Neodiprion lecontei: one gene and its partner. The protein of the gene in region 1 purifies or fractionates together with the protein of each later gene. This does not show direct contact. Links are inferred from orthologs where the notes say so. Each region holds a gene or a part of one and is shown on either strand. Other genes may lie near its edges.

Region 1 (5,224 bases):
ATAAGCATCCGTGTGTATATAGTGTTAGTGAATATGGTTGTACAATTCCGTCTTAGAAACGACTAAAAACATTTGTTAGATTATCGTATATACATACGTATACCTGCACACATTAAAAAAGCACATTCCATGGTTATTTTCACATTTTTTGAGTGAAAAACAGCATACTTGTTTCATTATAATATCACGTTTTTGGTTTCAAACATGCCCTAGTATATTGAGCTGAATCAGCTGGATGTCATTTTTCTTACACGTAAACAAATTATGTATATACGATCGTGTCATTTTATTATTAGTCAGCTCAACAACACTTGCACGGAACGTAATGTAATGAACATGATCAATGTATTTTTTTGAACTTAGGGATAGTGTTGTGGAGAACTATTTGAATTTCAACTATGCGGCTATTGCTAAGCATTGCTAGATCAACATATGTGATGATTGTAATAGAATTCGTGAAAAAGTGATTATCCTGAACGGAATATCCTGAAAATATTAATCCTGAACGGAAAATCACTTTTTTTCCTCATGTAAGCGTAGTGTGAAAAGACATATAGGACTAGACGCGAAAGTTTATAAAAAGTATTTGCTGCCTGATTGGTTGCACGTTCTCGAGAGATCAGAGAATATATATATATTTATGAAGTAAAATGCATCCTGTGGTCAGAAGGCCCAAAGTCGACTGAATTATTTATTCAGTGTTCATCAAATCACGCACGTCAGCATATAACTAGTCTATATAATTAATAGCTTGAAGAACACGGTAAACTATATTTACAATTGTATATCAATCTTATTTGTGTCAAAGAAAAAGAAAAAAGAAAATACTGATCAAAGTTAAGGGGATATATCCATTATTGGGCATATGAAAATTCATTCAATTTGCTATTATTCTAGAAGAACAAAGATTGCCTGCATTCAAAGACGTATCTTTGTAGCCAATTGTTGAGTGTTCACTCGTTATTTAATTATTTTCTTCATTTTGATCACAATCACAAACTATAAAGTCAAATTTACTCTCACGCGACTACTGACTATCTACCTTTAAAAATCTTGTATGCATTTCGTATGATTTAATGGCGCTTTCAAATTGTCTACACTAAAATGGATGGATCCCCTTAAGGTAATAAAATACGTAAAGTAGTAATTTTATGATACGTCCTGCACCCGGGATATCGGAATTGAATGTGCGATGCAATATAATACGGGTCGATAATGATTTTATAAATATGATGTCTAAAATGTGTATTTTGAACTTAAGAACTATTGTCTAGTGTAATTAGGAATATAACTTATTTCCATTTTTTCTGAATTATTCCTCGTGAATCTTAAGAGGCAGAATTAGGATATTAATCAATTAGGACAGTTTAAGGATAATAATTATTACTCCAATGATCCTGTTATGCACAAAAATCCGTGACTACTGAATAAGTTAAGATCTAAAACAGTCTCAAAACCTACACAGAAGTATCAATACCTTTAGATATTATCATCCCGTTGCACCCATACTAGGATCATTTATTATATGGAGAAATTTTATCGGAAAGTAATTGTTTTCTTTTTGTTGCATTAAGAATTGAACAACTAATGTATTCACAACTGAGCACTTCAAAAATGGGGGCTAACATTGAACAGTCTGTAGCTACTATTCGCGGGCATGTATCCCGATTAATAAAGCGGTTACAATAAACAATGGTTTGTTTTATCCAGCGATATACATATATACACAAACACAATTATAATTTCATTATATTTATTATAACTAACATCATAAATCGACAAATAGTTTTTTAAATAAAACTTTACTTTTGCTCAAATCTCGTGTATAATTTTTGTATCAACTAGAGGTCCACAAAAAGCGTTGTAATTACTTACCCTGTGCCTAGTTTATTTTTTTGTACCAAAATTTATCACGTGAATGCATTTCTTGCTTCCGTGTTTCAGAAACGGCATTTACTGCAATGAGATGAGATGTCAATTGTAAAAGATAGAATAACACGTAAAATGATTGAAGAAACTATAGAGCTGGTACAGCACGCAAGTAATATGACTGTTATTGTTAAAAAAGTAAATCGAGGACGTTTATGATTTGCAATATGCCAACAAAGTTGAACGTTCAGTAGAATGGCTAATACTTTCTTCTAACACGGTTATTCGATCTTAAGTATGTTACACACATACCATTCACATGCCTTTAGTCAGCATAAAGTTACCTCTAATCAAAACCCGCGCCCAAACTCTGCCAGCGACAGTGGGGCCTCTAGCGCACTTTCACATGCACCTACTTTTTGCGATTGCGCGGCAAATATGGCGGGAAAACTTCGCCGGCGTCAGTTGTTCCCAACGTGCTGCTGTGTTTAGTCGAAGTCCAGTTGTTTCATCACTTTAACTTTGGCGGTTGATTATTGTCGGTGGTAAACCAAGTCAAGAGTAAAAATGCCTACGAAAGTAAATAGAGACTACACAAAAGACAAAGGTGAGCTGCTTAAACCAATTAGTAATTTAACCCTGTAGTTTATTGATCAATTGATAATTCGATAACCTCAAACGTAGTGTTGTTATTTTCCAAGCTGCATTTGAAGCACTCGCAGTTCTGACTATTAGTTAAAATCGATTAGCGAAGAGAGTCAGTCAACGGCATTGTGTTGAGCCGTGCAACAAGGAAACTGAGATAAAAGTTCAAATTTAAAAAACAGTCAAAATTCCCTAAGAAGGCTTACAGGGTTGTCGTATGGGAACAATCTCTCCTCGTTGTTATTCTTGACAGTTGAATCTGTTCAGGGATCTGATGTCTTCGTAAAGTCAATTGCATATTGATTTTAATTACTCAGTTAACTTGTTCGCTGTTGCTTGTTGCACAGTAGAATGACCGCCGGATCTCTCCTTTCCCAGCTGACTTGTTTAATACATATATCAAGTCTCTGACGGTGACACACACTGGCAGCATAATTGATACTATAATGGTTGGTTTACAGTTGGATTGTTCACCGAGTTTTGCAAGTTGGTTCATTTTGGAAGTTCCAACAAATTGTATAATATTCACTAATAGTTTATCACTAACAGTGTAATGATACTGAAGCAATTTCTCAGTCGTTCTGGTTCTTGTGTTTTATTGTGTTGACTAAAAAATCTCAAGAAGAAATTTTATGTGGAATGAATCCAAGCAATTAAACTAGGAAGTCCCCACAAAGTCTTCTTTCAGAATCTTAGATGTTTCAACGATTGTCGATGAAGTTTGTAAGAATTCCAGTTCGTCTCTTTTAAGAACACCTACAGAGAGAGAAGATTTGCTGATTTTGATGAATTTTTATCCAACAAATTCATAATAAAATGTATTAATTTTTTTTGCAACTCACATAGGGCTAAAATACAATTTCTAACAGATATAAGAAAATTCCAATAAAAAAATACTAATTTGTCTTTCCAGATAAATGCTGTTACACTAGATTAACTAGTGTCATACATTCCTAAAGTTAATTATTGTTACCGAAGATCAATTTTGTTGACTTGGAATTTTTTGTCTTTAGTCTGTGAATGATTGAAGACAAAGCTTTGAGCGAAAAACAAACTATTTCGCTGAGAGATTAACTACTGGGTGGCCACTGGTCAGGGAAAACTGGAATGTCAGAGAATTTTTCAATTAGTTGGAGAATTTTGTGTGGCATGGAAAGAAAAAGAATAAAGCTTCCCTCACGAAGAACCTAAATTCTAAGAACAAATTTTTCTCATGTGCTCAGTTCCATGACCATTAAATAAATCATAAACATATTTTTGAATACTGATTGATTGGGAGCTTTATTTATTAGATACTCGAATTGACCCTAATAGTTCAGATTTTAGTCAGGGAAAAATTATAATTTGGTCAGGAAAAGTTTGAGAAAAGTCACAGAATTTTTTTGACTATCTTTGGTAGCTGCCATGAACTATGAATAAAATCACAAATAAATAATAAAACTTGGAAAAATTACATTCACAAAAGAAATTGCAAATAACTTAACCACTCTATAGGTACCTCGTGTGTATCTTGTAGTTTTCAATAGCAATAGATCACGATGATTTAAAAAACCTCTGGCGGTGGGGTATCGAAAACCAAACTCATTGGAACCTCTGCTGTGTGATCTCGGTGTAACTTGTGCACAATAACTGGTGGTATGGTATATATGGTATATATATAATATGGTTTAGAAATAAGCTTGCGTCGTCATCGACATAACTTAAATGGTTTTAATCAAAGTTATTAGATTCAGCCACTCACATTAACTCCCAACTTTAACTGTATAACGGAATTAGAATTGATATTTGTTAAGGTGATGCACAAGGGTCTGAACAGTTTGAAATGCTTCCTTCAGGTAGTATAAACTGAAATTGTGTCATGGACTGAATGCGGCAATAATCCATTATCTCTATTTTGACATTAAGTAATTTTCACCAATACTGAGTGACTCACACCAAGTACCTGATCTTTGTTACAGAACAGCTCAAGCAGTTCTTTGCCGAGTATGCGAAAATGGATGATAAATCAGGCGATAAGACGTTTAAATATCGCACTCAACTCACCAATATTGCTCATAGAGAGCAAGTTGCATTTATCATTGAACTTGACGACGTCGCTGAATTTGATGACGAATTGGCTGAAGCTATACAATATAATACTCGTCGTTATACTACATTAGTATCAGAGGTACAATGAGAGAAGAGTAATCATTGAAAGCATTTCTCTTATTTTTGACAGAAAACTGTTAGTAATTTTCAAAGCTTGTAGCTGCTATTTGTCAAGTCAACTTATAAAATTGAACAGAGCCTTCAGAAAACTAATACCCAATTTCACCTTGGAAGTCCGCACTTTGTTTATACAGAAACAATTTGTGTCATTCTGTGTCAGATGGGATGAAAATTCGTAATATTAATATGCAACAATAGATTTTTCAGAAAAATCTCTATTAAACAGTATAAAATTGTTCAAAATTTAGTAAAACGATATGATGCAAAACATAATCACATTTTTCAAATGCAAACCCTTCAGTTTAATTCCTAAGTTACAAAATGATGTTTTTCAATGTTACGAATTTCAATCTCATCCTTTAGATAGTCCAGGAAATGTTACCCGACTTTAAAGAAAGAGTCGTACCACCTAAAGATTCATTGGATGTTTATATTGAGCATCGTTTGTTGATGGAGCAACGCAACAGACATCCTGGAGATCAGAGGGACCCAAGAAACAATT
Region 2 (7,707 bases), on another chromosome or scaffold:
ATTTTATTGTAAATAGAATAACTGCTTCATCATTATTTTATTTTGTTAACTAAAAGTTTCTTCTAGGAAAATTCGATTTTCTTCTGTTTAAAGATCAGTACTTCACGCAGAAGAAAAACGTGCAATTTAGAAACTTGCACATTGCATTTTCATTGTTTTATTGCGCTGACAAAGTTTTCTCTATGAGAAAGCTATCACTTGAAAACCAACTTCATCACTCCACACTACGTATTTCTCGAAGTTCAACTCTTGACAAGTTGTAAGGGGGTGGAAAAGTTTATATAGAAAAACAAATCATTCAAAAAAAAAAATCTATTGAATACTCTCCAATAAAAATTACTTTTTTTTTCATTTGTAATTTGTAATGTTACTTATCAATTACATATTACTTTTTTAAATTTATAATGCAGCACACATCCGTTACACATTATGCAGTGTAATGTGTAATGAATATAGTAATGCATTATCAAAGTAATGTTCACAACTCTGATTCCTTCTTAGCAAAATTTTAAATGGTGCAGTTCTCTCACTGAGGGTAACGCATTCAACTATCGATTGTAGCTGCATGCTTCAGTTTCCGCGTTTTAGAATGTGCCAGTTACAAAATATGGGCACGTTGTATTCATAAAATATTTATGAATACTTCAAGGTGGTCTGGAATATACAGTTTGTGAATGAGCTGATGTTGATGAAACTTGCGAGTTTGCAATTTACTGTAGAAACCAGAGGTGTGATAACAAAAACGTATACAGCGTTTAAGTTGGGATTGACAACAAATATCTTCAACTCATTTTTAAAAAACGCATGTATTTATTCGGTTCACTTTTACTTATTGCGTAATGTCTGTATCAAATTATCATATTAATGTTCGACGGTTGACCATGACCCTAAGTTATAAATTGATGCTTACATTATCGTTAGAGCTAAGTCTAGTATCACTCTTAAAATCATTCTATGTACAATAAAGAGTTTATTATTCATTCGAACACATCCGTGGCTAAACTTCAGAGTGACGTGACTCCTGTACCCAAGCACACAAGAGATGCCCGTTTACGGCGTAGCCACCGGAATCAAATACTCAAGAGTATATTTTACGAATTCAATATTCTCATTCCATTTTATACAAAGCTAATAAATCTGCTTTACTAAAGTTTACTTCACATATGGTGAACTGACAAAAAATTAGTGAGACTCATAAGTAAACGAATTAGTGACAGTAACTTATAGTAGTTCGATCGCATCCTAATTGTTGGAAAAAATTCGTCAAACAAGTCGTAAAATAAAACAAGACTTTTTGAAGTCCCTTATTAACGATTCAATCAAGAAATTTGATATTCTGCAAATCCGTGTATTGATGACCAGTACATTGAAACTGTCAAATATTACCTGAATGCTTAAAATTTGTAAAGGAAATCTAGTTATAGGTAATGTGAAATTAGATTAATATGTCAAATAAATTAAACTACAGATTCGATTAAAATAAAGTTAAAGCTTGTTACGTCGCTGGTTCTAAAATATGTCTGGGTTTAGAAATGTTGATCATAATACCCATAGTTGCATTGTTATACATTGCTAATCACCTGTGAGCAGGTGATCTGAATTGTATAGGTAGATTGATATCCACTACAATAAAAACTATAAACTAAATTTTAATATTTCTACTTAACTATTTATATAATCAGGAGCGCTGTCAATGCATCAAAGAACTTTGGCCGCTCTTGAATCTTCAGTCTTATTACTGGTAAACATGAAAATAACAATATTTGTAAATATTAAATAAAAGTTTTTCAAGTTTTATTACTCACTTGTTGTATCGAAGTAGTCCGCCTCTATATACGAATTGGTATTTTTAGCAGCTTGCTCGAATGCCCTTCCAAAGAGGCTAGTAATGTTAAATTCATGAGTCAGATAGTAATTCACATTTTTACAGCGACAAGTTTACGTTGCGAGGATTTTCATAATGCAAGATTACGTTAGACACAAATTTTTTTTACTTTACATATTCAGTTGCCAATTAATCATATACTTTGAATATATAATTTTTGAGAATTTTCTTTGTTTGCAATTCTGCGTGTGAATATGCATGCGGACTGTGCGGTTTGTGATTTGTTGAAGAGTCATTTTGCGAAAAATTGACATGCAAACGTTATCTCACCTTCTAGGTTGATCTTCGCATAGTGGTGGTATACCAACAACGAGGCAAGTACCGTCTTCTTCGCTGAAAGGTGCAGTAGCAATCAGTGGCCACTTAGTTGCGTTCCTGTATCTTGATGTTTCTACGTATGCTTTTAGTGTAAACTGTGCCAACATGATCAATGCGTGCTCATGTGCAAATAATCGAGTATCTAACGTGCCATCTTGGATAACAATATAAAGAAATGGACCTGCATTCTTTACTTGTTTCATTTCTAAGATGCCTTGAGCTGTCTTATAAATGTTGCTAAGCATTAGTTTTGCCTTTTCTATGCCTCTTTCTACAACATCTTTCTTCTTGCGAGATAGACAGTCCAAAGCATCTAAAAAGCAGTGTTGTGGTAATCTTTCTTTTGTCTGCAAAGAAACAAGTTTGTCGGTTTGTAGTTTGAAAGTGTTGGAAATATGGTTCATGGAAACTTATCAAAACCCACCGTGGACTCAAGTAAGGCCAGCATAGAGTATACCACGTCTGAGGCACAGTATTTAAATCTATATCCGTACTGCAGGGTAAAACTAGCACCAACAATGCTGTCAACATTGTATTTCGATGCTAATTTTTCAATCATCTGTTTAAACTCGTGTCGTAAGCTGAGATCCATGGCTGAAAATCGTTGCTTAGATTGTGCCAGAGGTAAACCCATCTCAGCCAGGAGTTCCCTAAGGCGATTTTCACCTCTTAAAGACCATAAGCGAAGAGAAACCGCCGTTGGTACGGAATGTTTTAGACTGGCTTCAACTGTCCAATGACGATACAGAGCCAACTGAAGGCTGTTAAATGTTACTAAGGAATTTACTAGTCTTGATATTCACTATTAATTATTTCTTCTGTATTCTTATGAAACTACAAAATGTATATAACATGCACGAATTTATGAAGGATACTCCTTGTCGTAAGTAAGTTTGACTGCTGTGGCGTGTTGCTTTTCACTGTCCGTAACTCTATGACTTAGTCTCGAAACGTGACTCTGGAGATTTCCTGTTTCTAAAACACTAACCCTGGATTCAACTTTTCCAAGAATTGCTTGTTCTGTAGCTCCTATAATCCCCCACCACGCCACGTCCAACGTATCTCGTGAGAGTTTCCATGCTAACTCATAGATTATCACAGCACTCTAAGGGTAAGCCATACATTAAAGCCTACGTTTTTTGAAACTCCCTAGTTAGTACAGCCATGTTTACAGATAAGTATTTAGATAAATTATTTGTTATTTCATACCGATCGACCATAGTAGCTGTATTGTGTGTAATTAAACATAATTTGTGTTCTACTCGCATCCCACAACCTTCGATTTCTTCGTTTTTCAATTTCTTCTTCATTCAATCGCCGACGTTTCGATAGCCTACTTTCTGCCGCCACACTCGAATCATCTTCATCTGTGTCTTCTTCTTCTTCATCAGACTGAATAGTGAAGCAAGTTCAGAATTGAAAAGAGGGCAATTATTAGTGCAAGCACTGTCAACTCCCATATGAGTTTGAAGTTGGTAATGTTAATGTAATGAAACATGAAGTAAAAATCATCACTTTGTAAATAATGCAACTGCAATTGCAAAGTAAATATGTTCTACTTCATTCCAATAGATGAAATGATAATTCCGTCTGAAAATTATCTGTTACATTACCGCTATCAGCTTCAACCTGTTACCCCTATTCTTAGCAGAATGTTCTCAACAAAACTACCATAATTGATGTTGTATTTATAAAATCCATCAAACAAATTATTTTATATAATAAAGTAACAACAAATATTTTTAAAAAGCTTCATATAATCTGTACGATAAATCTTTATTAAGCTTGATAAGTTTACGAGAAATCTATTATATAGGTTAAATGATACTTACAGAATTATCTCTAAAGACCTCGGTATATTCTGGTATCTTTTCTTCATTGTCAGGCTGACCTAGGATTCTGACTTGACTCTCTGAATAGACGTTGCATAAATCGTAAGGTCTATGACTGTCGAGAATGTAAAATACCACACTTTCATCTGGCTGTAGAAGTTCCACAATATCCAATGTTCCACCACAATTTACTAATATTACGTATTTCACCTAATACAGTAAAATATATTAATAAAATATAAACATCTATAAGTATTCTCTTTATTGATCTGTCAAATTAGATGTATTTCAATAGTTTCATAGTGAATAATAAACCAAGGTTTAGAAAATATTAATTCCTGTGTTTTTTAATTTCAATGCGTAGATCTTGCAAAAGTTTCTATGTTTTTGTTCGTTCATGTTTGTGCCATCAATTACACCTCAAGATGAAAAAATACATAGAACTGAATATATACGACTTCATGATTATACAGAAATAAAGAAATAGAACAAAAACTAAGAACATTTACTGACGAAAAAACATTGGAATAAGTGATAATGAATCTTTTACTTTATTATCTGGACCGTGAACTTGAATATGTATTGTTCTACTGGTTATACAAAGGAGCAAAGATTTTGATGGTTACCTCTTCACAGTTCTCTTCATATGCTTGAACTAAGTCTTGAATTCCACGCACAGGAACCAGTGTATATACAATGTTGTCATTTTTTAAAAGGTACTGCAATATTTTGCATGCACATATTGCATCGATGTCAAAATTGACTAACAATAAGCATCTCTAAAAACAAAGGAAAATTCAATCGTTAGTATATAAACAATGGTTTAGCACAGTTGACTTTGTTGACGAATGGTTCTTAGGATAATGATTAATAAACCAAGAAATAAATAGAAATAAGTGCTAAGATCAAGGAAAATGCATTATCTATAGGAAACAAAATCCTTTAATAAATTTATATGAGAACATTTGGTTCAACGACATAAACAAACGGACACTACTGTAATAGTTGATCAAATGTGTTTTTCGAAAAAATTAGGTACTCTCGGTGATAAGGTTGCAAGTTAAGTATTGTCAAGATCGAAATTTCAAAACACTGAAATTTTTTAAGGCTGTGTGACTTAAGGAAAACATTCAAAAATCAGATGGCAACACCCAACACGTAAATAAGTATGCAAGGAAGAAAAAGGGCGCCTAAATCATATGGTTTACCACTCCGAATTTTCGTCTTTTTATATTCACACTACTCTTAAGCTAATAAAAATTATTATAAGGTCGAAGAGCGAGCACAAAACCGGAAACAAAAGTTACAAAATGATAAACGGAATAATGAAAAGAACGGGACTGTTTACTTACGTATTTACATCAGTTCTAACGACTCATTTTCTCATCATTTTCAAAGACAACGAGTGAAAGAAAGACACGATTAAATATCGAATAATTCGATACAAAGTAATTAAGTACAGTTAGAAAATTGGGTCAGATTTCAAAATACTTTATTGTTAATTAGTCGTGCAATTAGGCAACCTCAAAAATTACCTCTCCGAGAGAGAGGCACACGTAAACCATTCCTCTCGTCATTGTACAGAGATCAGTCGTAAAATATTCACTTACGTTTCCTAATATTTCGTTATAAAACTCAGTTTGAATATTGTCCAAAAACATGATGCCCTCGTCAAACACATGGAAGAGGAATTTTTATTTTACAATCGTCAAAACACCACCATGATCCGTTTGCAAACTGCGAATACCGCGAGGCGCGAACGACGACTGTGGGACTGCGCAGTGCGCAGCAGCTGCTCTCTGCTCTCGACGCGCTCCTGTGGTATTCACTGGCGTTTTACCAAGTTCCAGTATTTCAAACAATTTCAAAGTATGACTTTCAATCTTTGCGAAAGGAAATCACTACAGAATCATAGAGCTTATACTAGAATGCGTGAAAACACAAGGGAATCACAGTTCGATACCCTAATACGGTTCTGTGTATTGATTATAAGGTTGACTGACTCCCGCCGATAAAGAAGCTACCGAGTCGTTAACACGGCTTTTTGTGGCCAAGTCCACTTACTCGTAAAGTTCTGATTGAGAAAATTTCCCCAAGATGAACGTCTTTGAAATCTTCCGTCAACGCTGTAGAACGCCAACGTGTTTTCAAATGATTATTTTTTACGCTAAATTTCAGTCGCACGCATAAAGTACGGAAAAGTAATTACTCAGATTATCATACACTAATCTCTGGTGCAGCATAGGGCAAATGAATGGACAAACGCAGAGCGGAACTTATAAGACCACGTGACAATTGACCAATCAGTGCATTCGATAACTAAATCGCCCAAGCCAAGGAACGGCCTCGTGACCTCGCCAAGCACGTGTCATGTCAAAGTGGTGTATGATATTAATAACGTTATTCTCCGGAACTTGATTTGTCTCGAAAAGAAGCAACAGATTGGAACATGTCTAGACGACCAGAGCATTCGGCACCGCCTGAAGTGGTACGATTAGACATCCACTTCTACTATTCGTACGTCTGAATGACTTCTAGGTTACCTCAAATAATTGTTACGTTTTCTGTTATTTACAGTTCTACAATGAAGTGGAAGCACAGAAATACACACAGAAGTATGAGTCTATTTTTGCGACAATATATCCGGTGATACCGAATTTGCTCAAAACTTGTCTCGTTTGACTCCAAAACTTACATTTTTAGTTCTCGGATGATGGATATTCAAGTTCAAATGTGCGAACGAGCCATTGAATTGCTGTTGTTACCTGAAGACGAGCCATGCCTTCTTCTTGACATTGGTTGTGGATCTGGACTTAGCGGAAGCGTATTAGAAGACCAAGGCCACACGTGGATCGGTATCGATATATCTCCTGCAATGTTGAGTATGTTTCGACTATTACATTGGGTATTTTCTAAAACTGTCATATAATGTTCTTTTTGACTTAGTGTCGTAATTGTTCATTTTCATTTGGTGAATGTGGACGAAAATTATAAACAATGAAAAATTCCCAATGTTTGGAGACGCTTAGGATCAAATTGTAAATGTATTCTTGTTATTTCAGACGTAGCTAAAGAGCGGGAGGTTGAGGGTGATCTTATTCTGAGTGATATGGGACAAGGGGTGCCTTTTAGAGCTGGCAGCTTTGATGGAGCTGTGAGCATATCTGCGTTACAGTGGCTTTGCAATGCTGACAAAACTTCACACAATCCAGTCAAACGACTGTATCAGTTCTTTTCCTCCCTTTTCGCTTCATTAGGAAGGACAGCTAGAGCTGTCTTTCAATTTTATCCAGAAAATAGCGACCAGATTGAGTTGGTCACAACGCAAGCGACCAAAGCTGGGTTCTTTGGTGGTATAGTTGTTGATTTTCCAAACAGTACCAAGGCTAAAAAATTCTTTCTAGTTCTGATGACTGGTGGCGCAATGCCTCTTCCTAAGGCATTGGGAACTGGTGATGATAATACTGTAGTGAATTACGCGTCAAAAAGGTGTGTGGGAGTTCTAATACTATACCAAATTCAGAAACCATATTCAAACAAAGTTATAGAATTGTTAATAGCTTTTGGATTCCTTAATTTTTCTTTTGTTGAATAATTAATTTAATAATTTAATTGTATTGGGATACTGACGATTTCTTTTTCTTAAAAATTATAGGGAGCGAACTATGAAGG

Evidence for each region.
Region 2: the proteins of DNA replication licensing factor Mcm7 (region 1) and cell division control protein 45 homolog purify together in Drosophila melanogaster (affinity purification with western blotting; 3 studies listed by BioGRID, with this or other methods). This does not show direct contact. The link is inferred for Neodiprion lecontei from reciprocal best matches to the Drosophila melanogaster genes Mcm7 and Cdc45.

Annotation. Positions count from the first base shown.
Region 1 is NC_060261.1:14,200,712-14,205,935, forward strand, and holds the start of DNA replication licensing factor Mcm7, read left to right. Parts: upstream 1-2,150; 5' UTR 2,151-2,436; coding exon 2,437-2,476; intron 2,477-2,942; exon of another isoform or gene 2,943-2,963; intron 2,964-4,472; coding exon 4,473-4,681; intron 4,682-5,085; coding exon 5,086-5,224.
Region 2 is NC_060262.1:27,230,948-27,238,654, forward strand, and holds cell division control protein 45 homolog, read right to left. Parts: upstream 6,071-7,707; 5' UTR 5,697-6,070; coding exon 5,646-5,696; intron 4,815-5,645; coding exon 4,662-4,814; intron 4,246-4,661; coding exon 4,036-4,245; intron 3,596-4,035; coding exon 3,413-3,595; intron 3,309-3,412; coding exon 3,079-3,308; intron 2,965-3,078; coding exon 2,628-2,964; intron 2,551-2,627; coding exon 2,156-2,550; intron 1,883-2,155; coding exon 1,806-1,882; intron 1,739-1,805; coding exon 1,671-1,738; 3' UTR 788-1,670; downstream 1-787. Other genes in the region: probable 18S rRNA (guanine-N(7))-methyltransferase, read left to right, coding at 6,485-6,523, 6,613-6,650, 6,739-6,917, 7,098-7,524, 7,691-7,707.